Rhinolophus ferrumequinum: one gene and its partners. The protein of the gene in region 1 purifies or fractionates together with the protein of each later gene. This does not show direct contact. Links are inferred from orthologs where the notes say so. Each region holds a gene or a part of one and is shown on either strand. Other genes may lie near its edges.

Region 1 (9,726 bases):
ACAAACAAAAACTATAGCATCTGAAATGAAAACTACACCGGATGGGATTAGCAACAGATTATACATTGCAAGAGAAAAGATTAATGAACTTGAAGACTTTACAACAGAAACTCTCCAGAATGAAACACAAAGAGACTATTCAAAAATGAAAAGAACATCACTAAGTTGTGGGACAATGTCCCTAAAGGAGGAGGGGGAGAGAAAAAAAAATATTTGAAGAAATAATGTCTGAAATATTCTCCAAACTTGCTGAAAACTCTAAACCCACAGATCCAAGAAGCTGAATGACTGCCAAGAACAAGAAATATAAAGAAAACTTCACGAAGGCCCATCATAAAAGAATCTGTCCAAAATCAATGATAAAGACCCAAAATCTTAACAGCAGCCATAGAAAAAGATATCTTAAGCAGAAAGGACTAGAAATAAGGATGACAGCATATTTTGCCTAGGGAATAATGCAAAAAACTGCAATGGAGCAACATTGTAAACGTACTCAAAGCTAATGACTATCAAAGTTGAATGCTTTAACACAACATAAATAGCTTTCAAAAATGAAGACAAGGGCCAGCCAGGTGGCTCAGGTGGTTGGCGAGCCATGCTCCTAACGCCAAGGTTGTGTGCTGCCAGGAGCATGTGTGTCGCCAGCGTGAGGGGCTGGCAACCTGCGTGAGTGGCTGGTGGGAGCTGCTGTGAGGGTCGACCGATTACCTGCGACCGACCGCCTCAGCCGGGGGGAGCACAAGGCTCATATACCAGCATGGGTCAGGGAGCTGTGTCCTACACAACTAGACTGAGAAACAATGGCTTGAACCGGAGTGGGGGCGGGGAGGCAGAAAAAAGGGGGGTGGAAATGAAGACAAAATACAGACATTTTCAGATACACAAAACCTGAAAGAACTCATTACTAGCACCCACACCATAAGAAATGATAAAGGAAACCTGCAAGCAAAAGGAAAATGACATCACATGGGATTATGGAGCTATAAAAAGGATTAGAGAACACTGAAAGCAGTAACACTATAGGTAAAATAGGTAAATATATACATTTTTTTCTTGTTATGTTTCTTTAAAAGATATATTTTTAAATATAATTGACTGTTTAAACAAAAATAATAACAATGTATGGTGGCGTTTATAACACATGTAAGTAAAATGTATGGCCACAATAGCTTTGGCCAGGAGGGGACAAATGGAAATAGTAGTCTAAGGTTCTTTTACTCCATGCAAAGTGGCATAACATCACTCAAGGGTTAAAGCTCCACACTACAAATTCTTTTTTTTTTAATTTTTATTGCATAACAATGTGATTTTTCCAGGACCCATCAGCTCCAAATCAAGTTGTCCTTCAATCTAGTTGTGGAGGGTGCAGCTCAGCTCCAAGTCCAGTTGCAGTTTTCAATCTAGTTGCAGGGGGTGCAGCCCACCATCCCATGTGGGAATCGAACCGGCAACCTTGTTGTTAAGAGCTCGTACTCTAACCAACTGAACTAACCGGCTGCTCCCCACACTATAAATTCTAAAGCGGGGGTCAGCAAACATTTTCTGTAAAGGGCCAGATAAATATGTCAGGCTTTGTGGATCATGTGTTCTCTCTTTTATCTACTCAGTTCTGCTGTGGTGATGTGGAAGCAGCCACTGGCAACATGGAAACGAATGATTGGGGCTATATTCCAACAGAATTTTATTTATGGAGTCTGAAATTGGAATGTCATATAATTTTCACTGGCTACAAAATATTCTTCTTTTTTTTGTTTTCAACCATTTAAAAATGTGAGAACCATTCCTAACTCACAGCTACACAAAAGCAGGTAAGTGGCTGGATTTTGCCTCGAGACCAGAGTTTGCCATCCCTGTCTTGCAGAGAAACCACTAAAATAACAAAACATAAAGTTAAAGCTAACAAGCCAACAAAAGAAATATAATGGGACAACATGTACTTGTTCCAAAAGAAGGGAGAAAAAGAAAAGGGAAACAAAGAAGAGATAAGTAGAAAACCAGTAACAATATGATAAACTCAAACCTAACCATATCAATAATTAAATGCAAATTGTCTAAACACTCTAATTAAAAGGTAGAAATTGTCAGATTGACCAAATAAGTAAAACCCAACTATATGTGCCTACAAGAAACACTCTTTAAATATAAATATTAAAAAAGAGGTTAAAAATAAAAGGTGGAGTAAGCTATATCATATCATGTTAACACCAATCAGTCAAAAGAAAGCAGTAGGAAGTATTTTAATATCAAAGTAGATTTCAGAGCAAGTAATATTACCAGAGATAGAGAAGGCTGTTTCATAATGATAAAGAGGTCAATGAATCAAGAGGACAGAATAATTCTAAACATTTGTGCCCCTGATAATGGAGTGTCAAATAATATGCAGCAAAACCTGATAAAACTACAAGGAGGAATAGACAAATACATAATTCTTATTGGAGATTTCAATACCCGTCTCTAAATAATTGATAGAACGAGTAGACAGCAATCGTCAGCAAAGCTATAGGGGACTGGAACACTATAAATCAACATGACCTCTAATTGACAGCTAGAGAACACTACACCCAACAACATCAGAATATACATTCTTTTCAAGTGCACACACAATATTTTGGACCAGTAAACAACTCTTAATAAATGTAAAAACTTTCAAGTCATACAAAGTTATGTTCTAGGTCCACAATGGAATTAAATTAAAAATCAATCAAAGAAAAGTATCTGGGAAGTCTTCCAAATATCTGGAAACTAACATACTTCTAAAAAATCCACTGGCCAAAGAAGAAATCAGAAGAGAAAGTATAAAGTATGCTGAATTGAATGAAAATAAAAACACAACATGTCTGAATTTGTGAAACACCGCTAAAGCAATACGCGGGGAAATTTATAGCACACAACACCTATAATAGAAAAGAAGAAAGGTCTCAAATCAATGACCTCAGCTTCCACATTAAGACATTAGCAAAAGAAGAATTAAACCCAAAGTAAGCAGAAGAAAGAAAATAATGGAAGTCAGAACAGAGATCAATAAGAGAGAGAGAGAGAGAGAAAGAGAGAGAGAGAGAGAGACTTAGAGAATTAATGAAGCCAAGTGGGTTCTTTGAGATCAATGTTTATTGAGTGCCACCTATGGGTCAGGCACTGTTCAGTCACTGGGGATACAGCAGAAAACAACACACAAAAACCCCAGGTACAATCCCTCACTTGGGCCTTTCCAACATTGTTCTTTTACCCAGAGTGGTTTCCCCAGTAATCTGGTTGTCTCGTTTTCCTGCTTGATTTTTCTCCAAAGAACTTACTATCTTCTGGCCTACCTTTTCCTGTCTTTCTTTTTTCTTTTTCTGGTTTTCTTTGTTTCTTCCTGTCTTCCTTCTTATTTTGTGTCTTTTTCTTTACTTTCTTTTTATTCCTGCCTTTTCTTTGTTCTTTCTTTTTCTATTTTCTCCCCCTCTTTCCTGCCTTCTCTCTCCCTTTTTTCCTTCTTTTCTTTTTTCCCCTCCATCCCTGCCTTCCTTCCTTCCTCCTATCTTTCTGTCAGTCTTTCTGTCTATATACCCCTCTCCCCCAAATGTACACTCTACAGGGCATAAGGTGTAAATTTTTGTCTGTTCACCGTCTTATCACCAGCACCTGAAACAGGGCTTGGAATATGGTAGTGTTCCACAAATATTTGTTTAACAGATGAATCCCTGTTACCATGGAGCTTACATTTTCTCTTTGAATATGAGATGTAAAGATTAGTGCACAGAAGATGGGATCTTAAAGTCAAAGACCAAGTATTAATTTTGGAAATCAAGGTCTAACGCTCCTAAATCAGGAGCTAAGGATCAAAGACCATATTTGGAGAGGTTAAAGGTCAGAAGGAGATTGCTTGAGCTACAGTTCTAATAAAGGTCTCAGAACTGGGGTCAGGAAAACCAAATAGAGTTTTGGGATCAATGGATAGGAATGTGGAACTCTGAGATCCAGAGTTCAAGAAAGGAGGTCAGAAATTATTGCGTTGGGATCAAAATTGGATAGTAGATTGGTGTTTTTAAAGGTTAGGACCTGTGGGTTACATACAGATCAATAAGTCAAGCATCAGAAGTCAGATTTAGGAGAGGTTGGGAAGCCGAGATAGAGACTAATAGGAAATCAGATGTCGTATCCTAGAGCCCGGTTTGGCAGCCTAAGTTTCACTCACGTGTCCCCATCCTCAGTGACGTAGCCGAAGACTAGGGGTGCCCACGACAGCCCCGGGCCCAGCTCCGGACCCAGTCCTGGTCCTCCCGGGGCCGCTGCGTCGGGACCCAGAGAGCCCAAACCGCTGTCGCACCATTCGTCGGCATCCGCAGCTTTCCCCAAGCACGCGACCCCGGCCATGGCCCCCGAAGCCTCAGGGGCCCCCGCGGCCGCCCGCCTGTCTCTGGGCTCTCCCTGGAGCACTGGCGCTTCCGCCCTGCGGGGAATTCCCCAACACTCCCCCCTGGCTCATCCAATCAGAGTGGGCTAAATAGCTCTAGCCCCGCCCCATACCACACCGTGACCAATCAGAGTATTCAGATGTACTCTCTCGACCCGTTCTCATATTTTCCGGGCGCCCTTTACCAACATGGCTGCCGGCGCTGGGCATTTCGGGACTCGTAGTCCGGCTCGCCTGTAGCTTTACCTAAGAGGGGCGCGCGCCGAGGTTGTGAGAAAGCGTGTATGCGTCCTCGATGACTTCTGGGAGTTGTAGTTCTCTACCCTATCTCTGCTCCTCCTGTTTCCGGTGCCGTCACGGGACCGAGCAGTCGGTGACAGCCCCGAGGGCCCCCGCCCCGCGCCCATGGCCGAGCCGGACCGTGAGTCGGGGGCTTCGGTGGGAGGGTCGGGCCTAGCCGGGGCCTGGCTGAGGGCTGCAGGCCCCGGGACCCGAGGGCGGGCGTGGTGGGCAGGAAATTGGGGCTGCCTGGGGAGGAGTGGGGTTCGGGGGGCCGTTCCTAAGTGATCCATATTGCTAGGTTTGTGGGTTTCTGGGTCTCGAGGTTTTAAGGGTTCGTTTGCCATGTCTCCCAAGTTACTAACGATCGCATGTTTCTCGCACCTGGGTTGCCAAAGACCCTCGTTGCTAAGGACTTAGGTTGCCGCGGTCCCGGTTGCTAAGGGTACCCGATTGTTAGGGGGTACTGTAGAATGCTAGGGGACCCCTGGTGTCCCTTCCTATCTCTTCCCTCTAGTTCCTGTGCCTCTCTTAAACATACCATCCCCAGCGCACCTCGTCTCCCACATCCACCTCCAGTCGGAGTATCTCTTCTCTCTTTCTTTCTAAACTTATCTCTGCTTGTAAACCTAACCCTCCCTGCAAACACGCTCACATACTATTACTATGTCCTTCCTAACTCCTCCTAAGGTTTCCTCTATACCATATATCCTTTACTTTCTCCTTCCTCTCCTAATCCTTCCTGTCCCAGCTCCTTTGCCCCTCACTAACCACCTCTCTTCCCGGCACTCTCCACTCTGCTTTTCCCCATCCCCTTCTTCCTTTTACTCCATTTTTACCATTACCCTCTACCGCAGTATAACTAGGTTGGTGGGTCTTCTTGCCCGGCCCCAACCCCTGCTTTGAAGCCCTTCGTAACCCCTTAACGATTCCCTCCACTATAACCACATGTGCTCCCCCTCCTCCCCCAGCCTCTGACCCTCTGGAGACCCAGGCAGGGAAGGTGCAGGAGGCTCAGGTGAGATGAGGGAAGGGTGGAGGGAAGGAGAGAGATGCACTTGTTCCCACATCCCACTCCCCTGGGGGGAGGGGACAGAGGGGAGAGTTACCCCAGGGCCCTCAGCTCACTACCCCAACCCCTTGCCCCACCTCCCAGTTCAGCCTCCTGAGGAATTGTGGATTCAGGGGACTGTCAGAGAAGGGGGTGCAGCCTCAGCCCCAGGCCTGCCCTCCTGAACTTTCCTCTTTCCTTGCCCGCCCTCTCCCTTCTGAACCTTATTTATGCTGGTCCTGGAGGAGTCAGACATCCAATTTAGTCCCTGAACTCACAGATCTCATGGACAAGTGACTAGAAAATGACCCTATGGGGTGATTGTGTAGGTAGCTCAGGGCACTGTGGGAGCCCAGAGATTCCCGCCAGTCCCTCCCCTGGAGGAATCTACAGGCTGGTCTAGGGGTCAGATTGAAGTAGAGACACATCGTAGTATGTGCAGAGCAACTTCGAATTTTCTTAGGCAAAGTGAGAAATGGTGTCCCATGCAGAGGGTACAGCTCGTGCAAAGACCTGGGAGCATGGAAGAATGTGATGTGTGCAGTAGGCACTGGCTGGGGTGGTCAGCTAATTATATGCATGGTTAGCATTTATTGAGTACTTAACTTCAGCCGGGTACTCTGCTTGGTACTTTATGGGCATCATCTCATTTCATCTTCCCAGCATCCCTGTGGGGGTCAAGTCCTATTGTGGTCATTTTATCGATGAGGAATTTGAGGCAGAGTTCTTAAGTATCCTGTCCTCTGTCCCTTGGCTAGAAGAGCAGAGAAAGGCTTACAACTCACAGCACCCAGCACACTGCTTTCCAGATGCTTCGGAGAGGGGTAGACAGGCTGCCAGACAGAGGCCTGAAGGCCCTGCCAGTACCTCCAGCTCCCGCTTAGGCCGAGTTGCTCCCGTGTGTTGGGCAGGGCCCTTGAGTCTATCCACAGAGCCTCACTGTCTGTGGCCTGAAAGAATGCCAGCCCCCCACAGCCGCGAGATCGCAGTTCAGATGTAGGCAGTGCAGAAGCTGTGGTTAAAGCACCTCACAGATAGATTCACAGCAGAGGGTATAAGAGCTTCCTTTCAGGCCAGGGCTTCTCCCTTGCCTGGCTCCCAAAGCAGGACCACTGTCAGAGAAAAGGTTTAATGTTAAAAAGGATCCTCAGTCCCAACGAGAGAGACTTGAGGATGTAAATTGCAGCATTGTCCATATGGGGCAAAACTGGAAACCGCCCAAGTGGCTGTCCATAGATGGGTGAAATGAACTATGGGGCCTCCTTACAATGCACCACTAAGCAGCTGCTTAAAAGAATGAGGTGGGTCTATAATATCTTGTTCTGCAGAAGATGCACGGTGCTGCATTGTGCTATGGTATGACCCCTTTCTGGAAAAATACTGAGTTTTACATGCAGAGAAACAATCTGAAGTAATTACCATTGTACTGTTAATAGTGGTTATCTCAACGGGGTACTGGCAGTGGGAATTATGAGGCAGGTGCCCCAAGTTGTACATTGTCTAATAGTCAGACATTTTACAAAGCTTATACAATCTAAAGAGCGATAAAAAATTTTCAATGTTTGGGAGGGAGGTTCCGATTCAAAAAGACTTGGAACCAGATAGTGTGTGATGAGGGAGAGGAGCTGTTGGAGGAGTTTTAAGCAGGAGAGTGAGTGGGTGAGAATTGCGTTTACACGGGATCCATTGCAGGGCCCAGCCCTAGCCTAGTGTACAGCAGGTATCCATTCATTCAGTGGTGGATACTTCTGGAGCTCCTGCCAGGTGTCAGACCCTATTCTTGGTGCTGGACATTCAGTGGCGAACACGAAAAACACCTGCATTCGTGGAGCTGACCTCATGGTGGACCCTGTAGATGTCCGTGATCATGTGATTAGATTGGAGACACCAAAGAGAAGGGCCTGGACCGTGGAGGGGAGTGGGCCGTCCCAGACAGGCCATCATGCGGAGGGTCATGGAGTAGATTGCAGGTGGAGACTAAGGCTGGCAGCCTAGGGAGGAGGCTGGGACAAGGGCCTCTGTGGGGAGAGGACAGACTGGACCAGGTAGAGCCCTGGGGAGGGGACAAATATGGTGGGAGGGCAGGGGAAGGAGGTGGGAGGCCACACTGGATGGGGCCCAGGTGGAGGAGCAAGCTTGGGGGAGATGCTGAGGCCAGGTTGGGACATAGTGGGAGTGAGGGGCCTGAAACCCCTTAGGGGAAAGCCTCCAGGAGGCCATGGGAACCCTGCATCAGGGGACAGAGAGGTGGCATCATCACTGACATGGATGAGGCAGCTCGCCCAGGGAAGGTGGAGAGACAAAGCAGGGAGAGCCCTAGACAGAGTTCCAAGACCTGCAATTTGGGAGCCTGGCCAATGCGCAGAGCTGATAAAGGAGATGGAGAGGTTGCAAAGGCTATCTGGGGCTTCCAGACGCAGGGTGAGGACCGAGGTGTTTTCACCGGCATTATTCCATGATTATGAAGTGCCTTTGGTGAGGAGGGCTGCGGGGTGCTGCGAAGGGGCAGCAGCCTACACTACAGGGGACAAGGAGAGATACAGGGGGAGGATAGGGACGTGGCATATGAAATAGCAACAGCTAACGCTTCCTGAGCTCTTACCCCGCGGGGTGCTGTCCTGAGCACCTCACACAGTAACTCATTTCATCTCACAACAGTCTCCTGAGGGGAACCCTCTGAGCTCCATCTCCAAGAGGAGGCGCCCCGGAGACTCAGAAAAATGAAATCACTCGCATGAGATTATGCTCCTTGGGAGTGACAGGCCAGGTCCCCTGCACAGGCAGCCTGTCCCAGAGCCCCCACACTGCCCCCCAGAGCTGTTCCTCCATTGCCCTGCACTTCCTCAGGCCCACCTCCCAGCCAGGGCCTTTTTCCCAAACTGGGTTGTCACCCCACCCCCTACTCCCTAACCTCACTTCTTGGGCCTGGCCACCCCACCTCCACCCCTTCCAGGACTCAGATTCAGACACTGAGGGAGGAGCAGCTGGCGGAGAAGCGGAGAGTGAGTATCTTCCTTGGGAGGCCGGTTCTGGTGGGGGGCCGTGTAGGGCAGGGGTCTGGGTGACATGCCTCACCTCATTCAAGGTATGTAATAATGGTTCTGTGCCAGCACCTAGAAGCCCCTGGCTGGGCTAGGCATGGAGCCTTGAGTTGTGGGAAGGCAGAGGATCCCTGGGCTGGGGCAGGGGCACTCAGGGCCTCTGTGCACCCCGGCTGACACCCACTCAGCCGCCCCCTCTCTTCTTTTTGGCCAGTGGACTTCCTGCGGAATTTGTTCTCCCAGACGCTGGGCCTGGGCACCCAGAAGGAGCGTCTGTTGGACGACCTCTCCCTGGAAGGGGTGGCCCGCTACATGCTGAGCGAGCGCTGTAAGTCCCCCACCTGCCTTGGGCCACTTACCCCCCTCCTGGCCCCAAGTGATTTCTCAGCTCCAGCCACTTGAACCATTCACGCCTTTTTTCTGCAAGTAACAAGAAACCCAGCTCAAACTGACTTAAGCCAGAAAAAAGGAATGTGTTGACCCCCTAACTGAAATCCAGCTTTCAGCATGGCTGGGTCCAGGGGCTTCCATGTTATCAAAAATCTTAACCCTCTCTGGCTGCTTTCCTGCGTGTTGGGGTAAAGGTAGCTCCTGGCAGCTCCAAATGCCAGTCCCGCCAGCCTAGCAGCTCCCACTGAAGAGAGCGTCTTTGTCCCACTGCTTCAAGCAAAAGAGCGCAGATTGGCTCCAGTCGGCCCAGGGTTGCTCACATTCTTACCAGGAACCAATCACTGTGTCTCTGGTTGGCCCAACCTCGGTCACATCTCCATTGCTGACTCACGCTGTGGTCTCATTGGCCAGGCCTGTTTGATACAATGAAGGTGATAATAATAAATGTTTACCTCATAGAGTTATTAGGGGTTAAAAAAAAATTACTAGAGATGTAAATGCCTGGGACGGGACCGGAAACAGAGCAAGAGCTGTGTAAGTGCTGCCTGTGCTTATTATTACAGGAAGCT
Region 2 (10,222 bases), on another chromosome or scaffold:
GAGAATGGAGTTAGAACTAATGCCTCTGAAGTTATAAGGCAGATTCACCATCATCTTTACTTACTTAACACCCTCCCCCACCATGGTTCTCAGTACTTCAGATTTAGGGAACAGGAGCCCCTGGAGTCTGACCCTCTTATCTATCATTTTGGAAGATCCCACTCTAGCAGAGAAGCAATGCAACTTCTCTGACTGGATTAGGGAAAAATAAGTGAATCTCTTCCCAAATTAGAAAGTGTAGAGACTTTGCATCAACATGAAAGCAACTGACCACCATATAAGTAACTTCCAGTACCTGCCAGAGATTCTAAAACCTCTACTTCCCAACTAGAACAGTTAGGAATTAAGAAAGGCCCTCAATGGAAAAAGAGTATCAGACATGCCCTCCAATATTCTGCTCTGATCATTGCTCAACTTGCTTTAATTAACATTAGTTTCTGATCTCAAGTCTGTAAACACCGTGAAGCAGGATCTGTGACTGTTTTGCTACATCCACAGCCCCTAATTTGTGCCTGGAGCATAGTAGGTCATCAATAAATATGTGTTGAGTAAAAACACTCTTAAGACTTGTTCAAATGAAAAAAAAACCTGGCAGAAAGACACCCTTTTAAAAATAATCACAAAAGTGTTTTTAGTTATCCAAATCCAAAACTCATCCTAAACCTAAAATATGCAGCATTTCTGTAAGCCTTGACTGGGACCTACCTGAAAACAGTGGCTGCATGTTGAACAATTCAGCATCATATACTTCCATTTGGCCAGAGGTCTTGTTCAAAATGCCCACAAAGTGTCTGAATAAAGAAAGAAAAATATCAATGATAATGGATTATTCCAAAGGTATTGTTTATACAACTTCCTTTTTCCTGCTTAAAAGTTCTCAACCTTCTTTCTGTCCCAATACACCTAAGGAACGCATCACTTGCTCTGGAGTAAGAATAATCCCCTAGAGCAGCAATTCTCTGCGTGGGGCTGGGGTGAGAGGGTTCATGATGTGTTTCTGAAAAAAGAAAGCGACAGGTGATTCTGGCAGGCGATCATATCTGGGCTCACTGCTATAGTGGGAAACCCTTCTGGGATGTCAGAATCTAGAATTACACTAGAACTTACTGCACACATACATTTTATGGAGGCAAAGACAAGTAAAGCTCTGGTAACTACGGGGAGATCAGTCTGAACTAGAAAATCTTTATATAAAGGGATGATGCAGAGCCAATAGTTTTAAGCACACACTCCTTAATCTGACTTCTATCAGGGGGGTCCAGTGGGGCTCTGCAAGGGCCTTGTTTGTGGTTCACTGTTGGATACCATCACAGGGACACTGTCTGCGTTATACCAGCCCCTGAAAGTTATAGACCATTCTGGCTGGGCAATCTTCATCGTACCCCAGGGGAGACCGGGGGTCAGTGAAGTTAAAATTGCCCAAAGTCAGACAGTCAATCAGAGGCAGAGCTGCATAGAAACCCTGGAGCCTTTGACACTACCAAATCCTTTCCTTGTAGTTACTCCTAAAGCAAACTTCTGGCAAGCTTTGGCCTACTGATCATACACTCCATATTAGTGAAGACAGTTGCCTTTTGGAAACAAGACAGTTAAAGCTAAGTCCTGGAAATGTAATGTGCTGTATGGTGACTATAGTTAACAATACTGTATTGTATATTTGAAAGTTGCTAAGAGAGAAAATCTTAAAAGTTCTCATTACAAGAAAAAAAAATGTGTAACTATGTGTGGTGATGGATGTTAACCTGATTTATTTTGGTGACCATTTCATTACACACATATCTATCTGATCATTATGTTGTACACCTGAAACTAATACAATGTTATATGTCCCAATTTAAAAAATTTTTTAAAGAATGTTACAAACGAATGAGGTTTTCTTCAGGAAATTCAACAAATGTAAGTCAACTTTCTTTTCAAGAATGTCTACAGGCTGCTGTGACGGCCCCTGCTTCTGGGAACACAGGGACTTGGTAAACCTCTCCAGATTTCCCCCACTTCCCCTAAAGTAAACATCCCCTAAAGTAGACACAGAACAGCAGTCAGTACCAGGGCTGCTACCACCACTCCCCTCCCCATCCAGCTGTCCCTTCCCCTGTCCCTACCTGCACAGAGTGTTGCATTTGAGGGCTCCAGTCCCAAAATTGTTTCCCACGTAGCAAAGTCTGTCTGTTTCAGCTGCCTAAAATGCACAGGGGGAAAAGCTCCATTGCAACCAATGTTGAAAGGTAGTAAGCATCTAATCTCCCTTTTCCACATTTGCAAAAAGCTTTAGAATTCAAACTACAGAAGATCAGAACTACAGAGCCTCTAGGAGACATCCAGCCTCACTATCTCTAAGTGAATCTGGGATGCCCCTGGGGGAAAGGCAAGAGGACTTTTGAAAGGGAAGCTGCAGATTGTGCAGGCTTCTAGCTGGTCTGAAAAGTTTTTGGGGAAGCTGCACCGCAGAACTTGGAAGACAGACCCTGGACTCTCCACACTTACAGGCATTAATAAACTGATTCTGCAGGCAACCTCCTGGGTTCACAGTCCATACCCTTCTTGAACCTCTTTGCCCACCTCTCTCATGACTGTTCCTTATATGCTCATAGGACCATGGAAATGGCTGATTCACTTCTCAACCACAGCCAAGCTTTACTGCTTCACAATGTTTGTCCTCACTATTCTCTTCACTTGGAATACTAAAACCTCAGCTGTCAAACCCTCCTCCATCCTTCCGAGCTCAGCTCCATGTGCCCTCCCAGGGAGACACTCTAGCAAGCAGAGATGTTGATGGAGCTCACTGTGCCTTGTACTCTCCCTCCCTCGGCCCTAAGCTTTGTCTGTTTGTATGAGTGTCCCTCACATCCAGCTCTCAACTCTCTAGAGTTCTCTGCACTGTACTTGCAATGTTTCTGTAAGTTTCTGTAAGCACTGAACTTGCAATGTTCTCTGTCTTTGAGATTGGGTAAAATCTCAAAGACCTTTCTAGAGCAGTAGTAGTTCTCAACCCAGGGAATTCCCACTCGTGGGGACATTTGGTAATATCTGACATTCAGGTTGTCACAACTAGGAGGTACTACTGGTATTTAGTGAGTGGAGGCTAGGGAAGCTGCTAAACATCCTGTGATGCACAGGGCTGCCCCCACAAGAAAGAATTATCTGGGTCAAAATGTCAATAGCAGCAAGGTTAAGAAACCCTGCTCTAGAATACGAGCTCCCGCAGAGTGTGGCCAGGTGGATGCTCAATAAATGCTGTTGAATGAACAAATGAATGAAAGGCTATCGCTTCACCCAAAGTATGGAACTGAATGGAGCCTGTCCCCACACCCCTACCTGCTGGAGCTCAGAAGAATTCTTCAAAGGCTCATTTGCGATTTCCCCCTTTTCTCCTCTCACTCCCTCCCACATCGACCCACACTCAAGGGGTCCTGAGGCCTGCAGAGTGGAGGCAACTGGCCACTGCAGCACTTACCAGGATCCGCTGGGTCCTCTTCCTGGGGTTTGTGGAGTCATTGTTCTTGTACAAGGTAAAGCGCATGTTGCCTGGATCCCGCAGCTTCCCATTGGAGAACTGGACTGTAAGATCACATTCCCAGACGGGATGAGATCAGAAGGACCCACAAGGTATGGTGGGAGGAACTGGACTGTCAGTGGGAGGGAGTGATTGGAAAAATGAACATGGCAAGTAAGCCCAGGTCCTGACTTGAAGTGGGACTGAAGAAGGTCCTGGTCCACTTGGGAAGAGAGGATGAGGAGGTGAGGGGGTCCTGGGGAGGGGCGGCGGCAGTAAGGAATAACTAGGGGGATGGGGCCAACTGAGGAGGCCTCATCCAGACCTAGAGAGCGATGGAATCCCTGCCCAGGGGAGAGAATGAAATGGAACAGGACTAAGACCTCGGGAGTGAGAGGATGACAGGATCCTGGGTACAGTCCTGGGGAGGAAGTGACAGGACGTCCTCAGCAGGGAGGGAGGTAGCGGCAGAAACGTGGTGGGATGACAAAGGAGCCCTGGCCGAGTTCCAAGTAGTGGTGGACAAAGGAGGGTGGTGGGGAGTGGCAGGGGCTCTTGGCGCGGCTGGGAAAGGGGTCCGGCGCGGGGGGGGGGGGGGGCGGGAGGGCTGTAAAGGTACAGAAACGGGAGCGGAAGTTATGAGGAACAGTTCCAGCTCCGCAGTCTTTACCCAGTACAGCTCTCTGGCTCTCGTCGGGCTCCCCACAGTACAGCCACTTCGCACTCGACAACACTTCCGCCGCCATCTCGTCTCTACGGCCGCCAAGCCCGGGAGTTAAGACAGTACGAGCCACCGGCGGGTCGCCACACACTCCGAGGTAGCACAGCGGGCCGGAACAGGCGTGGCCCACAAGACACCGCTCCTTCCGCGCTCCCGCCCCCAGCGCGGAGGCGCACCAATCCCCGCCTGCCTGTCGCCCCGCCTCTCCGCACAGAGGCGTGGTCTCTACACTGTGCCCCGCCTCATCCTTGGACGGCCTCTCGGAGGCGCTCCACCGGATTGGCTCAGCGCTCCGCCTGGGCAAGAAGGGTTGTGTGGGACAAGGGTCCGAAGTTCCTAAAAGTCGTGCTGCTTTTGCCTAACAGTCATGTGGGTTTTCTTCCTGCTCAGCACGATCTACGTAGAGTATGATCTATCTCCCCTATGGTGACAAATATATACTACCAGACCTGAAAGGCCAACTTCAAATTTAGAATTCTCTGAGAGGCACTCCTTGAGCCCCAGCTAAATGTGGCAGCTGGCAAGAGAGCAGTTGGTCTCTAGGGCCTCCATCCACACGTGGACATCCAGTCCTTAAATCCAAGTTTCGTCCACAACCATGCAAACAGCTTCTAGCCCTGATCATTCCTCAGGCCCAGGCGTGCATACACCTGTGGTCCAACCAACCCAGGGAGGATGGACCCTGGGAGAGGCTCAGCAGGCTCAAGAGCATTTGGACAGGGATTGATTCTCCGGTGGACTAGAAGGCGGGAAGTTGGATCTGATGGGTAAGTCCCATAGTCCCTGAAGATTCAACCCTCCACATGGGCAGCTATCAAAGCAGAAGGGCCGAAGCAGAATCCCTAAGGATAGACCCAGGAGGAGGCCCCTTTTGCCCTGTCAAAGGCAAGTACTGTTGCAGGGCAAGAACTCGGATTGACTCATCTCTGCTCTGCAATCTCCTTTAAGATTCATCTCCTCCAGACACACACCCAGGATATTTTGAATAACCCTAACACTGAGCTGCCCTTTGAGTACTTGTAATGCTTTTCCCAATCTCAAACTTACAGGAACATTGCAAGTACAGTGCAAAGAATTTGTTTTTGACCTGAACCTTTCAGAGTAAGTTGTCAACCTGATGACTCATCACCCCTGAAGACTATAGCATTTCCTTAGAAGGGGACATTCCCTAAATAACTACATACAGCCATCAAAATCAGGAAATTAATATTGATATGTGACTACCATATAATCATCATACTCCATTTAAGTTCACCAACTATCTTAATATTTTTATAGCAAAAAGATCCTGTCCAGACTCACATGTTGCATTTAGCTGTCATAGCTCTTTAGTCTCCTTCAACCTATTAATAGAACAGTTCCTTACTCTACTTTGACTTTCATAATTTGACAATTTAAAAGATTACAGGCTAGTTATTTTGTAGAATGTTGCTCAGTCTCGGTTTGTCTAATGTTTCCAAGTGATTAGTTTCAGGTTATGCATTGTTGGCAGGAATATCACAAACATGAGACTGTTCTAACTGTATCCTATCAGGTGGCACACAATTTCAATTTGTCCCATTACTGTTTATATTAACTTTGATCACTTAATTAAAGTGGTATCAATCAGGCTTTACTACTGTAATGTTATTCTTTCTCCTTTGTAATTAATAAGTATTTTGTATGCAGGTACTTAGAGACTAAGTAAATCGTATCCTGTTCATCATACTTCTGATTTATTCACTCATTAATTATATCAGTATGAATTTATGGGTTCCTACTTTATTCAGTAGATTAGAATATGCTACTATCATTTATTTTTATTTTTATGTTCAAACTTTCCCAGATTAGGCAGTGGGAACCCCATCAAGCTGGTTTCTGAATCATCACTAATCCTAGGAGCCTAGCATAGGGACTGGAACTCAAGATACTTAATAATATTGGTTAAAATGAACTTGCATTGTGTTTACACATGGTAGATTCTCTGTATGTGTTGACTGGTTGAATGAAATATGAACAGTTAGATCAAAGTTAAGGGGTGACAAAGAAGACAGGAGGGTCTACAAGGAGTCAATTGTAGTTCATGAGGGAAGTGTCCTGGCCCCTCCTGATAAAGGGACATATTGTATGACCTTGCTTCTCAAAGTGTGGTCCTCAGGCCAGCAGCATCACCTGGGAACTTGTTAGCAGTGCAGAATCTCCTGCCCTATCAAGTCATCTGAATCAGAATCTGCACTTTTAACAAGATCCCTAGGTGATTTCTGTGCACTTTATGCTTGGGAAGCACTCTTGTACAAGACTGTTTCCCTTTCAAGGTGCATCTTTACCAGTCAGACAAAGTCTGTTCAAGTCCTCAGAATTGGCTGTTTATAGCTGGGTGAAAGAGCCAAGAGTACCACATATGGAGTTAGAGCAAAGACTCCCAGAATTACCACAGGCAAGAATTCAAAGTGACAGAGATTCTATCTGGGGAAGGAAAGTGTTAATGACAGGATGGTTGAGACCGGGACTATGTTGTTTAGTTATTTCGCAATGATTCAAAACACATATACACCATATACATATAAATACACATATACATTAAGTGGGACAGGACAATATTTGGTCACTCAGTCAGTGACCAAAATACAAAAAGTTATAGTGACCTCTTCTAAATTCGAATCAGGGTAATCACGGGCAGAATTTACCATAAATGTTTGTTTGTAAATTTGGTTTGGAAATTCATCGACTTCTGGAGTTGTCTCTTAGCATCATTTTTCAGAAGAGGAAAACTTGATATATATTTTGAAAGTAAGGGATGAGGCAGAATCCTCCTTTCCTGGGGTAATATCTCCATCTGCTGGCATTTCAAGATATCGCTAATGAAGGCCTGAAAAGGCAGACAAGATCCCACAGTATGTTTGTAGCCACTCATTGTGTACTGTCAAAAATGTTTCTTCTTCTATTTCATCTTTTCTCTTCCTTTCTTCTGCCTCTGCCTCAATTTTTTATCCCTTTGTTTCTTTTTCTGTGTTTGTCTCACTCTTCTGTTCTCCATTCTGTTTTTCTCTTCCTTCATATTTCTGATGTAGATTCTGTTTGTACACCTATAGACATGGACGACTCATTTCTTATAAGGCAGACTTTTCACCTTGGCTAGGTTTTTCCTTACATGGAGCTGAAGCTGCCTTCTGTAGCTTCTACCTGTGGTGCCAGTTCTGCTTCTCTAGGGCCACACAGAACACGACCAACTCCTCTGCCCTGAGCCCTTCAAAAGCCTGACTACTCTGACCATACTTTCCACTGACCTGCTCCTTTGCTCCTCAGCAACTCTTTCCAGCCCCTCAGCTATTTCACACACCAGAGTTCCTAGGTCTGTCTTCATCTGGTCACCACTTTGGGACATACATTAGTACATCTGGATCTTTTTCAAACTGGAGCACCACATGGATCAATACTCCAACTCTGGGCTGGGTAACACAGAATAAAGAGGACCCATCTCCTCCCTTCTGCTATTTGCCATGCCTCTCTTAATGAAACCAATATGTGAATTTATTCTTAGCATCTACACTGTTCAGTTAAGTTGTTTAGGGTTGATAAACCAAAATTCTTGATTTTGCTTCTGCTAAGTCACATTATCCCTGCATTTTTTATTTTTTTTATTTTTTTAAGGAGGGCGCACACACTGGCCCATGCGGGCATTGAACCAGCAACCTTGGTGTTATTAGCACCACGCTCTAACCAATTGAGCTAACTGGTAACCCCATCCCTGATTTTTTTTAAAAAACAAAGATTCAGAGCTTTATGTGAGGCCTAAGTTTAATCGTGTTAGATTTAGCTTACTCAGATTTTTTTATTTTTCCCAACATTTTTTAGATTTACAATAATTATCAAAGCAATTTTGATGTCCAATATTGGGAAAAATACAGAAAAATATAAAGAATGCAATTATAGTAACCCATGATCCTTTCCCCACCTAGAGGCAAACATTGTTAACATTCTGTTTTATTCCTTTCTAGATTTGTCTCTCTGCATATCTGCATATGTTTATATAACTGATACATTATTGTATTCAATTGTGTATCCTCCTTTTAAAAATTTTTAAATAATCTTGTAAGCATTTTCTCAAATCACACGATAGTCCATTGAATGTTGCCACAGGGTTTATACATCCAATGCTTTAGTTGCTCACTTGGGCTATTCCCAATTTTCTCACTGTTACATGCAACATTACATGAACTTTTTAAGCATAAAAACTTTGTTTGGGTTTTTTTGGATAAATTCTTTGGTTGGGATCCTAGGATTTGAATTAATGAGTCAAAGAGCATGAACATTTTTTTTAAATCTTAATACACTGTCAAATTTGACTCCAAAAATTTTCAGATCTTTTAAGCGATCTGCCTTCTAACACTACCCAAGACAATTTGGAAGATATAAGAATAAAAATACACAATGCTTGGCCTCAGGAATTACTTGCTAGGAGGAACACAAAAATGGAAAAGAACACTCTTAAGGGTGGATACTGTTAAGTCTTTAGAAATTCTCAGTTCAGTCAGTTTCATTGCTTTATTTGTTTTGAATCTTTGTTACTAGGATTATACTCATTCAGGCTTATTATCTCTTCTTAATGAATTAACCCTTTTCTCATTAGAATTGTCCTTCCTTATCTCTCATAACATTCCTTGTCCAGAAGTCCACTTACCTGATCTTCAAATAGTTATTCTGGCTTTCTTATGATTGGTGTTTGCATGATACATCTTTTTCTATCTTTTTACTCTTAACCTATTTGTATTTTTATATTTAAAACAGGTTTCTATGGACAGCATGTTCCATGTTTTCTTCTTTTATAGTTTGGTTTCAAAAGGTTTTAATATTTCATTCATTTGATAATAAATTTGTTGTAAGAAGTTAGATAGATACCCAATATATTTTTTCCAAAATACTTCCCAGTTTCACAGGCTCAAAATTTAATCTATATTTCTTCCATTGCTTTGAAATGACAACTTTTTCATACATTAAATTCTCTTATATATTTAGGTCTATTGTGGACCCTCTGTTTTGATCCACTGAATTGTCTGTCTGTTCATATACCAGTACCAAGTTTTGGGGTTTTATTTATTGTGGCAAAATATACATAAAATTTACCATCTTAACAATTTTAAGTGTACAGTTCGGTAGTACTAAATACATTCATAATGTGAAACCATCACCACCATCCATCTCCATAGCTCTTTTCAAATGTGAAACTGAAACTCTATATCTATTAAATAATGACTCCAATTTCCATCTCACCCAAGCCTCTGGCAACCACCATTCTACTTTCTGTTTCTATAATTTTGACTACCCTAAGTACCTCACATTAGTGGAATCCTACTTAGCGGAATCATCAGTATTTGTCTTCTTTTAGCTGGCTTATTTCACTTAACATAATGTCCGCAAGTTTCACCCATATTATAGCATGTCACAGTTTCCTTCCTTTTAAAGGCTGAATAATATTCCATTGTATGTATATATCACATTTTGCTTATCCATTCATCTGTTGGTAGACATTTGGGTTGCTCCCACATTTTAGCTATTATGAATAATGCTAATATGAACATAGGTATACAAATATCTGTTTGAAATGCTGCTTTCAATTCTTTGGGTATATACCCAGAAATGGAATTGCTGAATCATATGGTAATTCCATTTTTAAAATTTTGAGGAACCGCCATACTATTTTCCATAGCAGCTGTACCATTTTACATTCCTACCAATAGGGCATAAGGAAGGGTTCCAGTTTCTCCACACCCTTACCATCACTTGTTTATTCTTTATGTTTTTGAAAGTAGCCACCTTAACAGGTGTGAGGAGATATCTCATTGTAGTTTTGATTTGTTTCCCTAATAATCAGAGATGTTTCATATGCTAATGGGCCATTTGTATATCCTCTTTGGGGAAATGCCTGTTCAAGTTCTTTGCTCATTTTGGAGCTACATTTGTTTTTTGGTTGAGTTTTAGTTCTCTAAATATTCTGGATATTAATCCCTTATCAGATATATGATTTGCAA
Region 3 (9,732 bases), on another chromosome or scaffold:
AAGGGCTCCTCGGAAATGAGAACAGCCTGATGTGGAAAAGTACTGACATGAAGCCTGCAACTCCCACACTAGTTTAACCTCTTCCCTTCCTTCTTCCCCGAGTAGTCCAGACCATGCCTAGTTTCTACCCTAACCAGAAGACTCGTGACCCTGACCCTGGGAAACTTAGGACTCTGACTACACTTCTAATCTGCACTTTTCTGTATGAGTGCAGAAAAGCCTGGATCTACACTCAGGTAGACACTAAGGCCTTGATGACAGCTATGATGTCTCTGTTCCACCATCTGAACAGAGCTCTGCCCCACAAGCTCTGCTTTAGAAGCTTCTATGTGTTTCCCTGTGGGGGAGAGAATGTTGGCTGCTGCAAAGAAGTCCGAAAACCATCCTATGAAAAAAGGAATATGGCAAGTCTGTGTTGGTCTGCAAATATTAGATGAATGAAGCTGGAGTGATTGCTAACTGATCTCCCTGCCGGTAGCAAAGAAAACCTGTGGGAAGTCTCATTCTGTTACAGAAAGATCAGCTGACATATACAAGGTATGATCAAACAATATGGTGAATGTTTAAATTACTACAGTAAAAGACACATTGCCATTAACTGGGGGGGGGTGGAAGAAGGAAAAAAAAGAAAAGCTACAAATGCCCCTTGACTCAAAATGGGGATATGTTCCAATAAACCCATCATAAGTTGAAAATATCATGAATCGAAAATGCATTTAATACACCTAGCCTACCAAACATCATAGTTTAGCCTAGCCTACCTTAAATGTACTCAGAACACTTACATTAGCTTATAGTTGGACAAAATCATCTAACACAATGAATACAATGTAGAGTGCTGGTTGTTTACCCTTATGATTGAGTGTCTGACGGGGGCTACAGCTTGCTGCTGCCCAGAATCACAAGAGAGTATCATACAGCAAGCGTATCGCTAGCCTGGGAAAAGATCAAAATTCAAAGCACAATTTCTACTGAAGGCGTATCACTTTCACATCACCGTAAAGTTGAAAAATCTTAAATTGAACTGTTGTAAGTCAGGGACTGTCTGTACATATCTTTTCTGTAGCTTCTCATGAGAAATAAAAGGTTGACCATCTGAAAAACAGGCTATTACCTAGTAAGCTAAGAATTCATTAGAAAACTGGAAAGAGATATACACAACCAAGAATAAATGTGAATTTTCTAAGCACATAAAACAATGATATTGGGAAGAATTAATTACTAGGTAAGTTTTGGGGGAGTTGAAAGTTGTACGTGGATTTTTGACTGGGGGGGCATCAGTGCCTCTAAACCCCTGCATTGTTCAGAGGTCAACTGTACAGAATTAGCTACAATGGACAGCATTGCTAGGAACAACAGAAAAATGTGGCTATTCCAGCTCTCAGTATATACCTTTGCTTAGGGCTCACCACTTAGGAGACAAATGGCCTTGAGGAAGCAGAACCCCCCCTCAGTTCCTGGGCTTCAGTTGAGAAGGAACTTTAGTTCAGGTAAACAGTTTATCACCCCCTCCTTGAAATACTCTTCACTGGTTTCTGAGATACTGGCCATGCCTTTTCAATTTCTTTTGTTTTCTCTTCCTCATCTCCACAGCCTCTGAACATGAGCACGCCTCAGGGCCCAGCTCTTGTCCTCAAGTCCTTTCTCTCTACTCAATTGCTGGGTAACATCCACAGTCAAGACTTTAAATACCATCCATTGCACTGACTTTATGTCCAACCACCCACATCATCTCCACTTGCATGCCTCATAGGCTCTCAAACATAACAAACTTCAAAGGAAAAATTCTTGATTACCCCCGCTAGGAATCTGCTCTTCTCCCAGTCTGCCCCATGTCACTAAAGGACAACTCAACCCCCTCTTTTCTCACATCCTACATCCAATTCCTCAGCAAGTAGTGTTGCTTTTATCTTTCAAATTTATGCAGAATGTGAATACTACGTCCCACCATCCTCACCTACTACCACCCAAGTCTAAGCCACTACTGGTCTACCGATCTCCCTCTTATATTCTAGTCCCATGATCTGTGTGCTGTCCACACAGCAGCCAAAATGGGCCTTTTTAAAACGTCATATCATTTTCACTCCATTGCTCAAGTGGCTTTCCATCTCATTCAGAATAAAATGCAAAGTTCTTACTTTATCCCACTTACCTAACCTTGCTTTTCTTCAAATATGCCAAACACATTCGTATCAGATCTTTACACTGCTAGTCCCTTCACCGGGAATGCTCTTCCCCCAGATATTCACACAACTCATTCCCTCAACTTTTTTCACGTCACTGTTCAAATGTTATCAGAAAAGCCTGCCCTGTCTGCTACGTATGAAACCCTTGTCACTCTTGACCCCCTCCCCTTGCCCACTTTTTCTCCATCATACTGATCACCCTCCCCTTGCCCACTTTTTCTCCATCATACTGATCACCAACTGACATACATTCATTTGACTTTTATCTGCAAACAAAGACACTGATTTCTAGAGTAGGCCCTCACTATTCATTGGTGAATGAAGACAGTGAATTTATGGTGTGTCTGCTTTGGGCCAGGTGCAGTGCTAGCCTTAGGTACAGAAACAGATAATCATTCGGTTGGAAATTAGTGAACAAACAATGGGTTTTCTAAGCCCAGATAGATGAGGCTATAGAAACTGACTATAAACTTTGAGTCAGTCAAAATTTCCAGGTCAACATCAAGAATTGTTGGAGTTGATTGATGGGTACATGGGGGTTTATTATACTCTTCTCTCCATTCTTTATATGTCTGAAATTTTCTATAATAAAGGCTTTTTTAAAATCTTCAGATAAATGAATTATAGTTCAGAATCTTATAACTAAAATAGCTAAACCTTAGGGGTGCTTTTAGAAACGTGGAAACTAGAAAAATTCATGCCAATTTGAGCTGGTGGTTTATGAGCATTTTAAAGGGACAGTCGTGATCAACGGTGATCAGCACAGGTTCACTAAGTTAGAATATTCCAAACTAAGCTCCCATTTTATTTATTTTTTCAATTACATTCTACATTCAACATTATATTAGTTTCATACGTACAGCATAGTGGTTAGACATTTATATAATTTACAAAGTGATCCCCCTGATTAGTCTAGTACCCATCTGACACCATACACAGTTATTACAATATTATTGACTCTATTCCCTATGCTGTACTTTACATCCCCATGACTATTATGTAACTACCAATTTGTACTTCTTAATCCCTTCACCTTTTTTACCTAGTCCCCCCACCCCTCTCCCATCTGGCAACCATCAGTTCTCTGTATCTATGAGTCTGTCTCTGTTTTGTTTTATTATTTATTCTGTTCTTTAGATTCCACATATAAGTGAGATCATATGGTATTTGTCTTTCTCTGTCTATTTCACTAAGCATAATACCCTCTAGATCCATCCATGTTATCACAAATGGTAATATTTCATTTTTTATGGCGAGTAATATTCCATTATACATATATATACCACATCTTTACCCAATCCTCTATCGAGGGGAATTAGGTTGCTTCCATATTTTAGCTATTATAAATAGCACTGCAGTGAACATAGGTGTGCATGTATCTTTTCAAATTAGTGTTTTGGATTTCATCAGATAAATACCCAGAAGTAGAATTGCTGGGTCATGAAGTAATTCTATTTTTAATTTTTTAAGGAACCTCCTCTCTGTTTCCCACAATGGCTGCACCAATTTGCAATCCCACTAACAGTGTACGAGGGTTCCCTTTTCTCCACATCCTCACCAACATTTGTTGGTGGATTTATTGATGATGGCCATTCTGACAGGTGTGAGGTGATAGCTCATTGTGGTTTTAAATTGCATTTCTCTGATGATTAGTGACTTTGAGCATCTTTTCATGTCTGTTGGCCATTTGTACTCGTATGTTCTCTGGAGAAACGTCTATGCAGGTCCTCTGCCCATTTTAAAATTTAACCTTCCATTTTAATTTAAGGGTTAAGGAACTGATTTACCAGGGGAATGTCGTAGACAGTATCCCTGGATTTTAGCAAATTGTTTGATGGTATCTTATGATAATCACTTGAAAGGCCCACAGTTGGGTGGAAAGGCCTGCTTTATTTTATATGAATTTCTGGGGAAAGCTTCATCCCAGAGCTAACAGACTGGGTTTGAATTCTCACTCTGTCCCTTTCTAGCTAGAGGTGTTACTTCACCTCTCTGAGACTTAATTACTTCATCAGTAAAGAAAGGTAATATTTACCTTCTAGGGTTGTTGGGAGGAAGAACAAGAACTTACACTGAAGTACCTTAACATAGTACCTGGCACATTCCATTTGTGGGCAAGATGAAGAGGAAGGGGAAGTAATAGGAAATAGCCCAAATCAAGGGCCATAATAGTCTCCCTTTATGCATAGCTAGTGCAGGCCTGTAAGTCCATTATTTAGAAGGTCAGGAGGCAGTTGCAGGAAAGATCCGAAACAACAAACAGTCTGTGTTCCACTGTGAGCCCAATGTAGGACTCCAGGAATGGAGATTACTCATGGCACCTTCTAAAGAGAAATTCTACCAACCAGAGATGTCCGGCCTGGGAGTCAGTACTTTGTGAAAGTGACCTTGCTGCCACTAGAAGTGTGAGGCATACTTTGGGAACTATATAAAAGGCAATTTCCTACATCAGAGGAAGTTTGAACTATTAAGATTGTGGATGTCTTTTTAACTCTTAACATTCCAAATCTCCGTGATGGATGAGCACAGCCTGAGTCTCTCAGATAAACACCTTATTTCCCTCCCAGCACGGAGCTCCTGAGCTTAGGTCTTAAAATCTGGCCCTCAGTAAACCTGCCGTTGATAGAATAAGTTTAGGTCCAGATGGTCTTTTCCAGGGGACAAAGAGTTAGAGACTGAGTAAAAGGATTACGCGGTCTCCTTGCGGCTCCAAAGGGGGGCCGCCAGATGGCACCCTGGGACCGACTGAAAGATCAGTTTCCTTCCTCTTCCCCTAACTTCCCGGCAACGGGGCCCCGCTCCGGGCGGGGGACAGGAGGACTTGGGCCGGTCGGTCAGCTTCCCCCTGGGGTTCCCCAATTCCAGAGGTGGCCAAGCGTTAGGCGCAGCGTAAGCCGAGTAGCAGCGGGGCTGCCAGCCGTCTGAGGCAGGCCTGAGTGGGTGAGGAGACTGGAGTCGGGGCGTCGACAGGGGGATGGTGCTCGCTCAGCGGATCCCGCCTGGGACTGGTCCCCCCACCAGAGCCCACGCCTGGCTGACCGTCATACCCACTCCCGATTCCCCGCGCTGCGCGAATATTTGCCCCCTAAGGGGAGCGCCTGAGTCGCTCCGGATTGGTTGTGCGCGTCGGGAGTTAAACTTTCAGCCAATGAAAAAGGGCATGGGGCGTGACGCACGGCAACGTCACGGGAATTCCCCCCTCCCGGGGGCGGTAAAGGGGCTTTCCCCACTAGAGCGCTGGTGGCTGGAGAGGTGTCGCGACCCGTCCCAGGTGGGTCGGGCCGGGAGCTAAGCCGGAACCGGAGCCGCCGCCGCGGTGAGTGGCCGGGTTCAGACCCCTGGGTGGCCAGGACTCTGGGAAGGGCGGGAGGAGTGTGTCCTAAACTGAGGGAGACTCAGAGCTGGAGAAAGCATATGCACACACACAGAGAGCACGCACACGAACAAGACACCCGGATACACATCGACATCCTTGTACAAAACACGCGGACTTGTACGTAAGCCGGCGAGTGTACAGTCCATCACTCAAACTCGCACACAAATGCACACGCAAACACGCTCACCCGTGCACAGGTGAGCCTGGACCCATACCCTTCACGCACAAACTCAAATATATGCTCACCTGCGCCTCTACATATCAAGATATGCTCAGACATGTGTACACACTGAGACTTTTAAGGACACTCACCTGTACACAGACATGCTCAGCTGCACACGCATGTTGACGCCATGCACACACAACACGCACGCAAGCACATGAGCTGACTCACACTTGTATACCTGTGATGGAGACACACAAGTATTACAAACGGCTTTGGGACTGGGGCAGGGGCGTGGGCACCCAAAACTCATGTGGCGTGGGAGTCAACGGCTATCGAGGTGTTTCGAGGAGAGGGAACAGAGGAACCCATCCCAAGGAGGAGACACCTTTCCTCCCCTAGCTCCGCGGCCCAAGAGACTGGTTCTCGGGGCAGAACCCCTGGGCCCCTCGCTGGGAAGAGCCCCCGCCTACAGGCCTTCGGGGAGGCGGCCTTCCTACAGCAGGAATGTCCCCCCAAAAGCCCCCGGGGTGAATCAGCCGTGGCCTCCCTCAGGGTAGAAAATCCCAAGGTTACTCCAGGATGGGGGAGGTGAAAGGGGCGGGAGGTAGGACTGGCCCGGGGCTTGGAGCCTCTCCCAGCCGTGAAAGACCTTCCGGTCCCCGACCCCTGCTCTGCAGTGAGGAGAGGGGCCCAACCCTCACGGGGGCTTCGCTAGGTCTGGTTGCCCCTCTGCCCACAGACAAGCTGCGAGTGTCCACAGGCCAGCGCCGCCAACCTGGCGCCCCTCCCGCCGCGGGGGCGTGGCCAGTGGCGTCATTTCCAGGCCCGCCCCCTCCGGCCCCGCCTCCCCCCTGGTATTTTCGGGACTTTCCTAAGCTGTTCTAACTTTCCTGCCCCTTCCCCGGCCCGGCCCAGCCCAGCTCCCGATCTCGCGCTCCACCGGATCTCGTCCGCCACACCCGGACGGGTGGCTGGAGGAGATCCGACCCTCCTCCAAATCTGGGCCCCCCTCTCCTCTCTACTCCGGTCCTGATCTGTCTTTCCCGCCCCCCTGCCACTTCCCCCCACCCCCCAACCCCGACCCAAGGCGGGCGACTGAAACTGGGAAAGAGAACCCGGCCGGAGTCGCCACACAGTCGGGCCTAGCCCAGAGACATGGAGAGTTGCTACGACCCAGTGAGTCACTCCGCCTGGCCCCAAACCCGGCTGGCTGACCCCCTGTGTTTGTCTGGTTGTCTGCGGGTCTGTCGGAGTCCCCTCTGCTCCCCTACACCTGTAGTACCTTCACTTTATCTCAGCCTGCCTGTTGGTCTGTCTGCAAAACTGCTTCCAATGGGACCTCTCTTATGGACCTGGGGAGGAGAGGGGGTGATTACTGAGGGCTTAGAGAGCTGGGAGGTGGAGGACTCTGGGGGTGGCTCCGAATCAGCTGCCATCCCATTCTGTCTCCAAACCAGGATCTGGATGGCATCATTGAATACGATGATTTCAAATTCAACCCATCCATTGTGGAGCCCAAGGAGCCAGCCCTAGACACAGGTTGATAAGTCCTCTGACCTCCCCTGGTCTTAGAGGGAGGGGGAGGGAGGAGTATGTGCCCTCTGCCTTGGGGATGGGTCAGAGAGCCGGGATCAGCAAGGCCCCTCTGTCCCCAGCTGATGGACCATACCTGGTGATTGTGGAACAGCCTAAGCAGGTGAGTGAGGTGGAAGGGATGGTGTGGGATGGCTTCAGCTTTGAGGGCAGATGGGGTAGTTGTAGCTGGGTGGCCCTGGGGAGGGTCACTGACCACAGAAGCCACGTTGCGTTGGGATGGTTGTCCGCTGCTGAATCAGTAGTGTGGTTGTGGTTCAGGACAGGCACTACCAGTCATTATGGTCACTGCTGGCAGGGGGTATGGCTGGCTGGGGGGGGGGGCCTCCTGGTCACAATGTCACTCTGCCCTGGAATCTTCAGCGAGGCTTCCGATTTCGATATGGCTGTGAAGGCCCCTCCCATGGAGGACTGCCAGGTGCCTCTAGTGAGAAGGGCCGGAAAACGTATCCCACTGTCAAGGTGAGCAAGGGTGGTGCTTGAGGGTGGGCTAGTGGACAGTGTGTCCAGGGGCATTACTGACAGCCCTCACCCCTCCTAGATCTGTAACTACGAGGGACCAGCCAAGATCGAGGTGGACCTGGTAACGCACAGTGACCCACCTCGTGCTCACGCCCACAGCCTGGTGGGCAAGCAGTGCTCGGAACTGGGGGTCTGCGCCGTGTCTGTGGGGCCCAAGGACATGACTGCCCAGTAGGTGTCCCCCACCCCGGCCCCCCCAGTGGTATGCCCCCTCATTGCCTGCCAGTCCTAGGCCCCAGCCCACCTCTCTGAACTTAGCGTCTGACCAAGGGGAAAGACTTAGGTTGGCCCTAGAACCCAAGGCTCCAAGTAAAAACCAGAAAAGCTTCCTAGAGGAAGTAGGGCTGTGCTGAGCCTGGGCAGTGGGGTGGGGGGGGTGCCTCAGGAAGAAAGAACTGTCTGCAAGATCCCTGACTCCCCCTCCCTCACCCAGATTTAACAACCTGGGTGTCCTGCATGTGACCAAGAAGAACATGATGGAGATCATGATACAAAAACTTCAGAGGCAGCGACTCCGCTCCAGGCCTCAGGGCCTTACCGGTATGGCGGGGAGGAAGGGGGCCATGGGAGGTGTTCTTGGAAGGAATAGAGGAGGAGGTGTCCAAGGGTCACGTGTGTCACCACCCAGAGGCTGAACGTCGGGAGCTGGAGCAGGAGGCCAAGGAGCTGAAGAAGGTGATGGATCTGAGCATTGTGCGACTGCGCTTTTCTGCCTTCCTTCGAGCCAGTGATGGCTCCTTCTCCCTGCCCCTGAAACCTGTTATCTCCCAGCCCATCCACGACAGCAGTGAGTATCCTGACTACCTGGAAGGCAAGGCCTGGGTGTCAGAAAGAGCATGGGAGGCAACCTCAAGCTGTGGAGTCAAAAAGGCCTGAGTTTGAACTTTGCCCCACCATGTATGAGCTCTGTGATCTTGAGCAAGTCATTTCCCGTCTCTTGAGCATGGCTTCCGTCTTGGGTAAATGAAGATACTAGAGGTTCCTGTATCTCGTGGTGCTGTTCAGATAATGACACAAAGCACCTGGTTCCACAAATAGGGCCTTGACTCCTACATCATCTCAAATAATTGATATCTCTCCCCCATAGAGTCTCCTGGGGCCTCGAACCTGAAGATTTCCCGAATGGACAAGACAGCCGGCTCTGTGCGGGGTGGAGACGAGGTTTATCTACTTTGTGACAAGGTGCAGAAAGGTGAGGCTGGAGCCCAAGCTGGGAGCTAGGGACACTGAGTGTAAAGATTGAGGGCCAGGGAAACTTCAGGACAAATGGCCCTGGAGATTCCACTAGGAGCTGTGGCCACGTTTCAATTTTCCCTGTAGATGACATTGAGGTTCGGTTCTATGAGGATGATGAGAATGGATGGCAGGCCTTTGGGGACTTCTCTCCCACAGATGTTCATAAACAGGTACCTTAGAGCTGGGGCCAGGCCTGGGGGCCCATCTAGGCCAAGGCCTCGGTGACACCTTACATCTTCCTTCTGCCCCAGTATGCCATTGTGTTCAGGACGCCACCCTATCACAAGATGAAGATCGAGCGTCCTGTAACCGTTTTCCTGCAACTGAAACGCAAGCGTGGAGGGGATGTCTCTGATTCCAAACAGTTCACCTATTACCCGCTGGTGGAAGGTGGAGCTGGGCTGAAGATCCTAGGGTGGCTGGAGTGTGGGAGCTGGGTGCGAGGGACCCAAGAATTAGATCAGGGGACCTGTGAGTCAAGTTAGGAGTGGGGAGGGTCTCAGGAAGAAGTGGTCCTAGGAGCCAGCCTGAGGGCTTTGGGAGAAAGGGCCATTACCAACCTTGGGACAAGGATCTTAAGGATTGGCCCATGAGTTGGGATTCTAACGTCTCATTTCCCTCTGCCCCCAGACAAGGAGGAGGTGCAGCGGAAG

Evidence for each region.
Region 2: the proteins of NFKBIB (region 1) and POLR1E purify together in Homo sapiens (affinity purification with mass spectrometry; 3 studies listed by BioGRID and IntAct, counting the BioPlex papers as one, with this or other methods). This does not show direct contact. The link is inferred for Rhinolophus ferrumequinum from reciprocal best matches to the Homo sapiens genes NFKBIB and POLR1E.
Region 3: the proteins of NFKBIB (region 1) and NFKB2 purify together in Homo sapiens (affinity purification with mass spectrometry; 4 studies listed by BioGRID and IntAct, counting the BioPlex papers as one, with this or other methods). This does not show direct contact. The link is inferred for Rhinolophus ferrumequinum from reciprocal best matches to the Homo sapiens genes NFKBIB and NFKB2.

Annotation. Positions count from the first base shown.
Region 1 is NC_046298.1:38,184,952-38,194,677, reverse strand, and holds the start of NFKBIB (NF-kappa-B inhibitor beta), read right to left. Parts: upstream 4,446-9,726; 5' UTR 4,357-4,445; coding exon 4,178-4,356; intron 1-4,177. Other genes in the region: SIRT2 (NAD-dependent protein deacetylase sirtuin-2), read left to right, coding at 4,692-4,817, 8,680-8,728, 8,982-9,095. UniProt on the Homo sapiens protein: Inhibits NF-kappa-B by complexing with and trapping it in the cytoplasm.
Region 2 is NC_046295.1:53,173,678-53,183,899, reverse strand, and holds the start of POLR1E (DNA-directed RNA polymerase I subunit RPA49), read right to left. Parts: upstream 4,352-10,222; 5' UTR 4,240-4,351; coding exon 4,164-4,239; intron 3,559-4,163; coding exon 3,455-3,558; intron 2,180-3,454; coding exon 2,103-2,179; intron 792-2,102; coding exon 706-791; intron 1-705. UniProt on the Homo sapiens protein: Component of RNA polymerase I (Pol I), a DNA-dependent RNA polymerase which synthesizes ribosomal RNA precursors using the four ribonucleoside triphosphates as substrates.
Region 3 is NC_046299.1:22,619,035-22,628,766, reverse strand, and holds the start of NFKB2 (nuclear factor NF-kappa-B p100 subunit), read left to right. Parts: upstream 1-5,381; 5' UTR 5,382-5,502; intron 5,503-6,815; 5' UTR 6,816-6,883; coding exon 6,884-6,904; intron 6,905-7,185; coding exon 7,186-7,267; intron 7,268-7,383; coding exon 7,384-7,424; intron 7,425-7,684; coding exon 7,685-7,783; intron 7,784-7,862; coding exon 7,863-8,014; intron 8,015-8,276; coding exon 8,277-8,383; intron 8,384-8,471; coding exon 8,472-8,630; intron 8,631-8,930; coding exon 8,931-9,035; intron 9,036-9,163; coding exon 9,164-9,249; intron 9,250-9,330; coding exon 9,331-9,469; intron 9,470-9,709; coding exon 9,710-9,732. UniProt on the Homo sapiens protein: NF-kappa-B is a pleiotropic transcription factor present in almost all cell types and is the endpoint of a series of signal transduction events that are initiated by a vast array of stimuli related to many biological processes such as inflammation, immunity, differentiation, cell growth, tumorigenesis and apoptosis.